Oryzias latipes: one gene and its partners. The protein of the gene in region 3 interacts with the protein of the main gene of each other region in a biochemical or structural test. Links are inferred from orthologs where the notes say so. Each region holds a gene or a part of one and is shown on either strand. Other genes may lie near its edges. The genes, in order: lrrk2, endophilin-A1 and synj1.

Region 1 (3,648 bases), on a different chromosome or scaffold from region 3:
ACAGTCGTCTCGATGGGTTTTATACCGCTAATCGTAAAGTAAACATAACATCGTAAGGATCATGAATACATAGAATTTAATAGGAAAATTCTAAACTGAACTAACGAAACAGACTAAACTCAAATGGGCGTCCCTGCCCTTAGACCCCCTTCTCAGTGAAGAAAAACTCAAAAAAAGAAGCAAACTCAGGGGTGTCCACATGAAGGAGGGATCCTCCCCCAGGACGGACAGACCATGTACCAGAATTGAGCTATAGCATTAGAAAATGTTTCAAAATAAAACAAGTTGATTATATTCATCTATACCATTTGGATTGAGCGACGGTAGGTTTCTTTCACTGCAACGTACAAAACCACCAGGTGTCTCACAGCGGACAACACACACAAAATGATCAAGACATCATCAACACTTTGAATTTAGCAAAGCACACCCGACATACTTCTATACTCACACATCCCAGAATCAGAGTGTGGAAACTTTACATTTAGCTGAAGCTGCACATTCAGGGACACAGCAATGACAGCTTGTGACGCTTTCGGATAGCAAACCTCCTTTTTAATGTCAATGTGTAAACAAACAATGCTAAAAAAACTACACAAAGATCAATTCATACACAGACTTGTTCTCTGTTTTGGGGAAATTGATGTATGCAGTTAATGCAAGCAGAATTAACTCAGCGGTCGTCATTTTAACTGGAAATAGGTCACACAGCTGCAGACATGGAGCCCATTCTGTCCTACATTTATCTTTCAATCCTAATATTAGCTCACGTTTTGGATTATAATCTATAAAATCTAAATGTTATTAACTTCTTGTCACTTACTAGTGATTTTCCCTTCTTAAGACACTGAACGGATTTCCCAAACAAGTGTATGACAAACTGAGCAGCTGCTCCTTTAACCCTTGTGCTATCTTAGCTGACCCCACCCTTCCATTGAGGTGTTCTCCCTACCATGACAAAGGTGGATAAAGGTGGAAAGATTTCATGTAATCCATGGACACCAGTGAAGATCACAAATCATTGAAGAAAAAAGGTTCAGAGCACTGTGTAGTGGGTCTAGATGACCCAACTCCCAATGTTAAAGTGCCTAGGATAGCACAAGGGTTACGATCATGTGGTTGACGTGTACTCTACATTTGACAGTCTCTGAAAATACAAACATACTGCCTTTCAGTGAGAAAAATGAAAACTAAGTGATAGTTTGTTCACTTTTACCTTTTTTTCCCTATATTTTTAGCCAAAGAAAAAGCTACTTGCTGGTTGGGACAGCAGATGGGATTCTCAGTGTTTATGAGGACTCTGTGCTCCCGGTAAAAACCTCTTTCCATTGAGTCTGGACTCAGAAATGTGCTGCCTCAGCAAGCAGGACTTCACTCTCCTCTTGTGCTCCTTGCAGCAAACAAACGGGAGGCCCGTCAAAACCCTCACCGTGGGAAACGTCAACACGCCGCTCATGTGTTTGGGCCCGTCTCTGCACTCTGCCGACTCCAGAACTCTGTGGGCCGGCTGTGGAACCAACATCCTGTCCTTTTCTGTGGACTACGACGTCTCCAGGTCCATCGACACCAGACCCAACGGTGTCCTGCAGTGAGTGATTCTCCTCAGGACCCTTAGAACCTCTGACATTTGACTGAAGCCAAAAGAGAGCACAAACAGCATGAAACTGTCTTCACTTCTGGGTGAATGGGTCTGGAACTTTGTTGCCACAACATTTTGTGATTATATAAGAACTATCAGAAGAACAATTGAAATGTATGTAATTTGTAATGTTTGAAAACTGTTGAAAAGCTTATTTTGCCGTGTTCTTACATAGTTTAGTGCTTGCATGTGTGTTTGATAAACATGACAGGATGTTCGTTTTCTTCGTACACACGGCCTTAAAGTGGACTTTAAAAAGTCTTAAATTGAACTTCATTAAATCTTTAAAGTTGAAGCTCAAATAAAAGAAACATCCACCGCAGTGCAGGAAGTGAAGTCATGGGGGTGTCGCCCTGCAGGCAGCAGCCGCCTCTGAGTGGCGAGGCGTGTGTGTCTCGCATGGTTGTGGACAAAAACGTGTACCTGAGTAAAGCCGGAGCGTCGACCGTTGAAGTTTGGGATAAGAGGAGTGAGAGGCTGATGGAGTGCATCGACTGTTGTCACATCATTCGGTACACACACACACGCTGTTAGTTACAGTAAATCTGTGTTTCCACGCATCCGCAGTGACTCTACTCTCCCTGCAGGCAGGACTCGGGCGGCAGACGCGGGCCGGGCGGACGAGCGGAACGCCCCTCTGACGCCCCGCCCCCCTGGGCCATAGTGAAGGCTCTGCTGCTGCAAAGCAATGCAGCTCTCTGGATCGGCACTAGGGGGGGCCATTTGCTGCTGCTGGAGCTCCCCAAACACCAGCCTCTGTGGGTCGCGGCGCTCGGCTGCGACTCGGTCCGCTCCATCACCTCTGCGTTCATACGTGCGTTCTCCACATTTGTCCTCTGGTGCTGAGCGCCACTGTCCTGCTGGTCATCACATCCAACATTGTCTGTTGATCACGAAGCCTCCAGGTCCCACTCCCATCATCTGTTGATCCATTTTCAAAGCGCTCCCAGTGGTCTTTTGATTATGATGATGCCGTTTTTAGCCCAAATCCAAAAACCTGTGTTGTTTACTAAGACATAGTTTCTGCAGAGCCGCAGGAGTTCAGTAGAAATTTACCTGGAAGCCCCCCCCCACTGCGGGGTGAAGCAGAGACCTTGTGGGCCACACAGCCTATTTTCTACGTCACAAATAAGCTCTTTTTCCAACTGCATCTTTTTGTCTGCTCCTGATTCACAGCGATTCGAATCAAGAATTACGTAGGAATGCTATTTTATTCTCACTTTTCTGCCATAAAGAGCATGCGTAAAAAACACCCTTTTCATCAGAGTGGGTCTTGAACTACTCCTGTTGGGTTGCCGTAGTTTTATGCTGCCAGTCCGTGGAGTCTGTTAATTGCAAACGAGAAGCGGATCCTGGCAGCAGTTAACCGGTGCTGGCACAGCGTGAGCTCCAGAACAGGTCAGATCCAGTGGAGCGGTGAAAGCAGCAGCAGAGTGTGACAACGGACACAAGCAAACATCAGGAACACACAGATACGCAGCACCTGCGGCTCACATTCATTTGCATCAGTGTCTTCCTGCAACATGCTTGTTTTTGCCCCCGCAGAGCCGCTGATCTGGAAGAATGTGGTGCTGGTTTTGGGACGGAGACTCCCACAAGACAAGAGTCAGTATGAGGGCGTTTCCGCAGACAGCTGTGGGATTGGGACGCCCAGCGCCTGAGCCTGTTTGTCCGTTTGCCCTCAGATGAGGAGTCTGTGCTGATGGTGTGGAGCAGCAAGCTGCCGGCGGAGGTCAGAGACCTGAAGAAGCACTGTGAGAAGAGGGAGCGCACCGCAGTGAGAATGAGAGAGCAGCTCCACCAATCCTGAGCCTGCAGGTTTGGAGGATTTCTATTCCATCCAATTAGGATTTTGCTGTTTTTAGCCACAAGAAAACAAAAACCTGTGTGGTTTCTAGAACAGTTTCTGCAGAGCGACAGGAGTTCATGACACATTCAGCTCGGAGTTTAGGGCGGGACTATTAGCAGAGCCCGTCACCACTTCCCATCATCCTTCTGTTTACACTCTC
Region 2 (4,197 bases), on a different chromosome or scaffold from region 3:
TTGGTAGAGTTTTCAATGTAAAATACAGATTTCTTGAACTGCACAAAGTCAGGTTGTTTGTTTTCTTTAACCGGTGAGTTCAGGAAACCACACGGTTCTGCTCAGAGACGCCGTCAGACCCAGAAAACCCGTCCGATCCACATCACATCAGTTCTGCTTCTTCTGATGCAGTTAAAGAACTTTATTGAACCGACCCGAGTCGTATTCAGCTGCTCCTAATGTTCACCAACAAGGTTTTGTGCCCAACTGTTGTTGATCAATCTAAGGCCATACTCACCAATACCCATGATGCAACTGGGTATGGCTGAAGCCACCCAACATGACCGCTAAAAGCTGTAGTTTGACACCGTTGGGGACTCTAGTGTGCTACAGAACCGCTAGGTACTACAGAACTGCAAAGTACCGTACCACACCGAGAACCAATGTGTCTGTGATGTTGATAACAAAACTCGTTCAGACTCAACGGAAACAAAACTGGAAACTGCTAAACAACCAGCAGGGATACGCCTGAAACATGACAAACATGTCCCGTCTACACGTCTAGAGAACTGAAGGTCCTTCCATCATGTATTGATAGATAGTAAACCGTCAGACAGAATACTGAATCCCACGTGTTCACTACGACCTGTCTGCCGTAGAAAAACACATGCATGAACACGTTCTCTCTATGGTTCACCGAGCGGTGTAGGATCTTGATATTTCCCATCATGCCACAGCAGAACCTTTAATGTTTTCTGGTAGAACTCAGTGAAACAAACATTTAGACGGACGGACGGATTCCAGTCCGTGTCTCCCTCAGGTTCTGTCTGAGCTTTCAGGACGTCTCTGCTCTTTATTTCTCTCATTTCCTGCCGTCGTGACCCACTTCCCCCTCAGGGATCAATAACTATCCTCTATTTCCAGGTGACAAATGAACAGCAGTTTGTCCAGATGACAGCGGGACAGACGGCAGGCTTGAGGGAGACGGATTCGTTTCTAACCCTCATCTTTCTCTGATGTGCTTTTCTGCTTTTTAATGAAACCAGAGAAGTTGTGAAAGTCCCAGAAGTGCAGGACAGCCTGAAATAAACGGCGTCTTCACCAATCTGGATCATCTCCAATGTTGCATCACTGTTGGAGCGGTTGGAGAATGGAGGTGAAGCTTGTTTCCCTCTGGAATTCATGAACTTCTTGAACTCAAACTGGATTCCAACGTCAGCGTTAAGATCTCCATCAACACTGCCGTTTCAAGATTTGCCCAAACTGGTCCCTACATCCGACACAAACTGTGGGACTGTTACCATAGAAACCAAGTGGACGGATCATTGCTGACGTCTCACGGATTGTCCCGAACGGCAAGAATCAAGCCTGAATTGGGACGAACAAATTAACCGGAACTTTCTCCTCCCAACGTTACAGCACTGGGTGATGGGGCGGGACAAAGGACAGCAGGAGTTTAGTTAACTCCACCCTCCTGCCAGTCAGTACAAACAACCCCCCCCCACCCCCACGAGATGTTTGAGCTTTCATAAAAACCCCCACAAACGAAAAGGTCCCAACATGAACACCCTGTTCTACCTGTTCAGTTTTTCTGTGAAGTTGGACTTTTAACATGGGAGTCAGTGGGAACGGCTCCCATTGGAAACCAACCCTAGTGGTCATTAGATGAACTGCAGCTTTAGGTACTCTGGGGGGGCTAACCGCCCTTTGAAGTGTCCACTCACTAGGACACGCCTCCACTTTGATCTCTGGCAACAGAGTCATGTGACACAGCGGAGGAATCTTCACCTTCATCAACAGGCAGCTCCCAACCTCATCTTCATCAACCTCTCTTCTTCCTCATCCGCTAGAGTAAACCTCCACCCATCCATCCAGCCTGCAGAGCAGAGAGGGGGGGCTCCGGGCCGAACGGATGGACAGATGGAGGGAAGGACTGGAGAGGGAGGACGGTGGAGGAGAGAGTCAATGAAAAAAACAAGATGATACAAAGAATGAATGGACAAACGGAAAGATGGAGGAGGACGTGAAGGAGGGATGCAGATGGAGAGATGTTGGAGGAATGACAAGAACAGAAAGCTGTAGGATGAATGAGAGGATGATGGGAGGAAGAACAGATGAAAGAGGAGAAGTTAGAAAACTGAGGTGGAGGTGAGGAAGAGGGGGTGTAGTGAAGTTTGGATGAGGAGCCAGGATGAAGGCATGCATGGGGGGAGAAGATGGAGGAGGATGGAGGGAATTCCCTGTTGCGTTCAGCAGCAGCCAATCAGCTCCGGACTTTACGGATTCTTACATAATATTATAACCGAGCCTCAGCGCCGGGGTTTGCCCGGTTCTGCTGCCCGGTTCCCCACTCCAAACATCACGAGAACATCCTGTAAAGAACCGAAACTGTGAACCGGACCGGATCAGTTTGGACCCAAACGTGACAGGAGGATCCACCTGCGTGGATTAAATCTGTTTTCAGCATAAAATGCGAGATTTGTGGGAATAAAACATGATTTGAAACAGAAATGTTGTGTTTTAAACTTCCGTTTAGATTCATTTAAAGGTTCAGAACAACAGAAATGTTTGTTTTTAGATTTTAAACATGGAAACAAAGGCTGAACCGGGTCAGAACGGGCTAAAGCGCTCACCTGGGTGGCTTTGTGGAACTGCTTTTTCAGCCCCGCGACAGACATCTTTCGGCTGCGGAGGAAGAAAAAAGAAAGAACTGACGGCGGAAAAATTTCACGGAGAACGGAGTCTGGAAGTGGACCGGTTCGACCCGGCGGAACTCGTCCGTAAATCCTCCGGTGATGCGCGTCGATAAGTGTCCGTTAGCGCTCGGTGGGACCCGGTGGGAGCGGAGCGGAGGACGGCCGGACCAAACCCAGCTGCTGGATCTATTTTCAGGCGCACGAGCGAGGCGGAGGGCGGAGATCGTTGATGAGCGAGATGGATCACTCCAACGAATAAACCGAAATGATCCACGTCCCGTTTGTCCAGCTGTTTATTTTTTAAATATGCAATAAAATTTTGAGTTTTCCAATGAATAAATAGGATTATGCTTGTTCATTTTTTATTTATTTCAAAGACTTGTTTTAGGTAGTGTAATGTCTGAACTTGACATAAATTATAAAGAAATAAAACAAAAAAAGGAAAGAAATCCGTTTAACAATGTCCCATTGGCAAATGTTTAGATTAGATTAGATTAAATGACTTTATTTATCCCACCATGGGGCAGGAAAAACAATGTTCATAAATAACAGCAAAAGAAAGGACATCAAAACTGATATTCTCATTATAAATAAATACAGCTACGAAGGTGGCGTGTGATCCACTGCAAACGTGTGGTGCAATTTTTTGTTATATCCGAAAAATGTAAAAAGGTACACACCAATCAAACATCTGTTTAGGAATAAGAACATTTGAAAAACAACAACAACTACAACAAAATTACATAAATAAATTTAAAAAATGGTAAAAAAAAAATAGTTTACTGGGAAAGACTTCCAACAGCTTTTAAAGATTGTTAAAAAAAGATTTTTTTGTTGTTTTGAAATTAAGACCAATAAATTAATTAAAAACGTTTAACAAAGTTTATTTTAGCTTTTTTGAATTTGAATAATATTCTGTTTTGTGAACAAAAAATGTTTTTATTTCTTTTGATTAGAACTCTTCAAGAGTTTCTGTGGATAAAAAAAAAAATGTAAAACAATTTTACCAAAAATGTCACAGTTTGGTTTAATCCACATTATATAACTAACATCTACAGAGATTTTTGATAACTATGCAGGAAAAGACAAATTTCTCGTCAGTCAGACGTCTGTCTTCACAGATAGACGATCTTCAGAAGGGCGAGAGCGCAGGTCTGCTGTGACAGGAACGCGCCGCCCTCCACCGTCCACGAGCCGTCCTCGCACGCGCGACCCTCCTATGTGAAAGAGTTAATTCTACAGAATAATAATAAGATCACAGGTGGGGTCACGTGATCGAGCGTTTCTGCAGGCGTCTGAACTGTAACTGAACACACTGTAACTGAACAGACACCGACGCGGTTTCAGCACCACGGACAGCTCATTGGAGGGTCCGATGGCGCGTTTAAGGGCAGCTCGGACATTCAATTACTTTTTCACATGGACATTCCCCATTGATTTCTTTTTTTTTATTTTTTATTTTTTGTAAAGCCTAATATCAGTATTTCTACATCCTCCATATATTTGCATATGTTTTGATTTT
Region 3 (3,648 bases):
TGGGCATCCGCCTGCTGTTCCACACCACCAGCATCTGCTTTGTGTGCTCCCATTTTGCCGCTGGCCAATCCCAAGTCAAAGAGAGGAATGATGACTACAACGAGATCACGCGCAGACTCAGTTTCCCCATGGTAACAGCTGTTTACAGCGGGGCTTTTTGGGCTCCGTGCCGCTTTAGTTGCCTAAACTGCAGCTTCCATGTCTGTCCTCCAGGGTCATCTGCTGTACTCCCATGATTACGTATTCTGGTGCGGAGACTTCAACTACCGAATCAACCTGCCCAATGAGGAAGTGAAGGAACTCATCCGACAGCAGAACTGGGAGGCTTTGACGGCTGGGGATCAGCTGCTGGAGCAAAAAAATGCAGGAGCGGTACGACTGTCCGACTTGAGATCCGACTGTGTTGTCGTCTGTTGTCATCTCGTTTCAGTACACCAACCAAAAGCTCTGGGCAGCTGATCTTAAATACCCACCCTGATCATCAAAAAACCTGTCTCATTTTCCAGGACATCGTTTCTGCATTTCATTAGAACTTAGACCGCTGGCATGTAGCAAGCACACCCCCCCTCCCCTTCCCCTCCCTGTTGTGGAGCAGGGAGCTTGTGGCCCACCCAGGGTCTTTTCTGCAACCCAAATGCAATCTTTTTCAAACTGCATTTTTTTGTCTGATTCACAAGGCTTTATAAAGAAATATTCAGAAATGCAATTTTAAGCTTAATTTGCTTAATAGATGTCCTCCATCCCCAGAAAAATACCACGTCTTAAGCACCAAAAACTTTATTTTCCTTGAAGTGGGTCTTTAAAAATCACAAAAAACTTTTGTAAATTCCTATGGTCACTAAAAAATGTTTATCAAAAAAATGTGCATGGCTGTCAGCATTTTATTTGCTAGGGTTTTTTATTGCATAGGAGCAAGGGCAGTACATAATATAAGCATAAATTATTTGTTATGAAATAGAAATTCATTTATTTGGCCCTCAAACCACTGACACTATCAACTGTATCCTGCAGATCTTCAGGGGGTTTATTGAGGGAAAGATAGATTTCGCCCCCACCTACAAATACGACCTTTTCTCAGACGATTATGACACCAGTGAGAAGTGCCGCACTCCAGCTTGGACGGACCGCATACTTTGGAAGAGGAGAAAGTGGAACTTCAGCAAAACGGGTTAGTTGCAGAACAAATAATGCAGGAAAAACATTTTCCCTTGTGTTTTATTGTTGAAACGTGTCAATTACAATGTTTTTGTTTTTTTTGCTGCTGTTGTGTGTGGAGAAAAAGAAAAAGCTTTTAAAGGAATAAGCTGTCTTTGTCTTTGGTTAACAGCAGAGGAGCTGAATGTTGTTGGGGCACCATCCACTTCTGCAGATAATGAGGGGGATCCAGAATTTGCATGGAGCCCTGGCGCTTTAAAGTACTACGGCAGGGCCGAGCTGAAGACCTCAGACCACAGGTAACTACGGAGGCTTAGATGTTTCAATAAAGTGTTTATGTTTGATATTTAAGGTTGTCTGAAAATCGTATCTTTATCTTATAGGCCTGTTGTGGCAGTAATAGATGTGGACATCCTGGAAGTGGACCCTGAGACTCGCCACCAGGTCTATAAAGATGTCATTGGCAAGCAGGGGCCTCCAGATGGCACCATCCTGGTATCGCTGTGCTCTTCTGGGCCTGATGACTACTTCAGTGATGACCTAATTGACGAGCTTCTGGATAAATTTTCCAATTTTGGAGAGGTCATCCTCATCAGGTCTGTTTGGGGTCACAACACAGAGATGCAGACTCATAATTACTGTCAGATATTTGTCCTCTCTGACTTTTTAATTTTATTTTTTATTTTTACCCAGATTTGTTGAGGAAAAGATGTGGGTTACTTTCCTGGAAGGTTATTCTGCTCTGGCAGCTCTTTCACTGAGTGCTTCCACTGTAAGTTCTGCTTTTTTATTCTTATTTCCCCACTTTTAATTATTGAAAACATTCAATTTAAAAAATGTACTGAAATTTGAAGTGACTTTTCACTCCATATTTGTTCTGGCTTTTTGGTTTTTAGGTTAAATAAAAACAAAAGTTTTAGCCATGAAATATCTGTCAGTCAAAACTAAACCAATCCTAAATAGGTAGTTCTGCTGAATTTAAGCCACTTTTGCTTCTTGTCTAAAAACCTTTTGAAGCTGTTCTGTATGTTTTGAACTGTTTTTTGTCTTTGATTCATGTGTTTGTGGCTACAAGGTTCTTGGAAAGGTGATTGACATTCGCCTCAGAAGCCCGGGCTGGATCAAGAGTTTGGAGGAGGAGATGAGTGTGGAGAGGATCTTTGGAAGCATGCCCACATCAGCCAGTTCCACCCTGCTTGCCGAAGATGCTGATGTGGATGAGGATGAATTTGACATGGAGGGTGAGTTGTTACCATGAATTCACATTTGGGGGGGGGCTCCTTTTTTATTTTTTATTTCTATCCTTCATGCCACATATCATAGAGAAACCTGTACACCTTAGAGTTTTTGATCAAGCCCTTTTTCTCTTCTACCTCTTTTTTCAGGTGAAGTGGATGAGGAGGTGGAGGAGATCCTTCCACAGCACCTGCAGCCCGGAGCCGGCTCTGGTCCCGGTTCTTCTCCTCTGCCCTCTCCCCGCAGTAGTCCCTGTCCCTCACCCACCCACGGGGAACCCGCTGCTCCCAGCAGGCCCAGTCGTTCCCAACAACCCTCCCGACCATCACAAGGTAAAATTCACTACACAAAACTGCATCACACTTTACTGCTTTTATTTTGCTAAAAGCCCACTTTAATCCCTTCCTTCAAACTAAGTCTATCTGCAGGAATATAAACTGTAATTTTCTTTTGTTTGTGGAATGTAGAAATGGAAATAAGTCCTTTGTCTCTGAGATTGGAATTTCCAGGTAATAAAATGTGTGGTAGTGCCATATGTGTGTATTGTAAGAATATTTAATGTCTTACAATAAAATGTTTCTCTTTGAGAAATATTTTATAGCACTGGTTCTTTAAGTGTGTGCAACGTGCTTCATTTTTTTTCTCTTTGCCTAGAAGTAGAAAGGTGGTAGGAGATGATTTGAACAGATGGTCCTTAGCTTAATACTGGTGTCCAATCATGTCATAGTGGTACAAATTCAATACTTAAAGGCTTTAGTCTATCACTTTTTCATTATAATATCTATTTTTTTAAAGAGGGCATATATCCTTTAAATACTTATGTTTGGAGCTTTATTTTTGGTCCAACCTGTTTGTGAAAATAGGCTTTCTCATATTCTGGCTTTCCTTCAGGACCTCCTGTTGACTTCCAGCCTGGCGCGCCCCCATCTGGAAGCCTGGAGCCCAAACGGCCACCACCCCCTCGACCCGGTCCCCCTCCTGCTAGACCTGCTCCACCTCAACGGCCTCCACCACCATCAGGTAAAAAACCCCACCCCCAATTTTTTGGGAATAGATTTCATTTGAGCCAGACATGTTTCTCCTGAAACTCAATTGAGAGCAGCCGGATAAAAGTCCCTTCTTTCTTCTCCGAATGTCACGTTTTGGATCTGTTGTTTTGTTCTGTCTAAGCTTTCTTTTGAGACAAAAATGTTCTGTTTTTCCTCTTGAAGAGGCTGGTCCCAGCCCACTGCTTGGTAGGAGAGGCAGTGAAGGTAA

Evidence for each region.
Region 1: of the proteins of synj1 (region 3) and lrrk2, one has a biochemical effect on the other in vitro, tested with the Homo sapiens proteins (2 studies listed by BioGRID). The link is inferred for Oryzias latipes from reciprocal best matches to the Homo sapiens genes SYNJ1 and LRRK2.
Region 2: the proteins of synj1 (region 3) and endophilin-A1 form a complex in vitro, tested with the Homo sapiens proteins (2 studies listed by BioGRID and IntAct, with this or other methods). The link is inferred for Oryzias latipes from reciprocal best matches to the Homo sapiens genes SYNJ1 and SH3GL2.

What each region holds. Positions count from the first base shown.
Region 1 is NC_019864.2:2,138,667-2,142,314, reverse strand, and holds part of lrrk2 (leucine-rich repeat serine/threonine-protein kinase 2), read left to right. Parts: intron 1-1,238; coding exon 1,239-1,311; intron 1,312-1,397; coding exon 1,398-1,588; intron 1,589-1,998; coding exon 1,999-2,151; intron 2,152-2,226; coding exon 2,227-2,453; intron 2,454-3,184; coding exon 3,185-3,244; intron 3,245-3,324; coding exon 3,325-3,449; 3' UTR 3,450-3,457; intron 3,458-3,648. UniProt on the Homo sapiens protein: Serine/threonine-protein kinase which phosphorylates a broad range of proteins involved in multiple processes such as neuronal plasticity, innate immunity, autophagy, and vesicle trafficking.
Region 2 is NC_019876.2:2,702,492-2,706,688, reverse strand, and holds the start of endophilin-A1, read right to left. Parts: upstream 2,936-4,197; 5' UTR 2,658-2,935; coding exon 2,613-2,657; intron 1-2,612. UniProt on the Homo sapiens protein: Implicated in synaptic vesicle endocytosis. May recruit other proteins to membranes with high curvature. Required for BDNF-dependent dendrite outgrowth.
Region 3 is NC_019872.2:10,887,201-10,890,848, forward strand, and holds part of synj1 (synaptojanin-1), read left to right. Parts: coding exon 1-131; intron 132-213; coding exon 214-372; intron 373-1,011; coding exon 1,012-1,168; intron 1,169-1,327; coding exon 1,328-1,454; intron 1,455-1,538; coding exon 1,539-1,751; intron 1,752-1,848; coding exon 1,849-1,927; intron 1,928-2,230; coding exon 2,231-2,396; intron 2,397-2,540; coding exon 2,541-2,723; intron 2,724-2,858; coding exon 2,859-2,900; intron 2,901-3,282; coding exon 3,283-3,411; intron 3,412-3,602; coding exon 3,603-3,644; intron 3,645-3,648. UniProt on the Homo sapiens protein: Phosphatase that acts on various phosphoinositides, including phosphatidylinositol 4-phosphate, phosphatidylinositol (4,5)-bisphosphate and phosphatidylinositol (3,4,5)-trisphosphate. Has a role in clathrin-mediated endocytosis.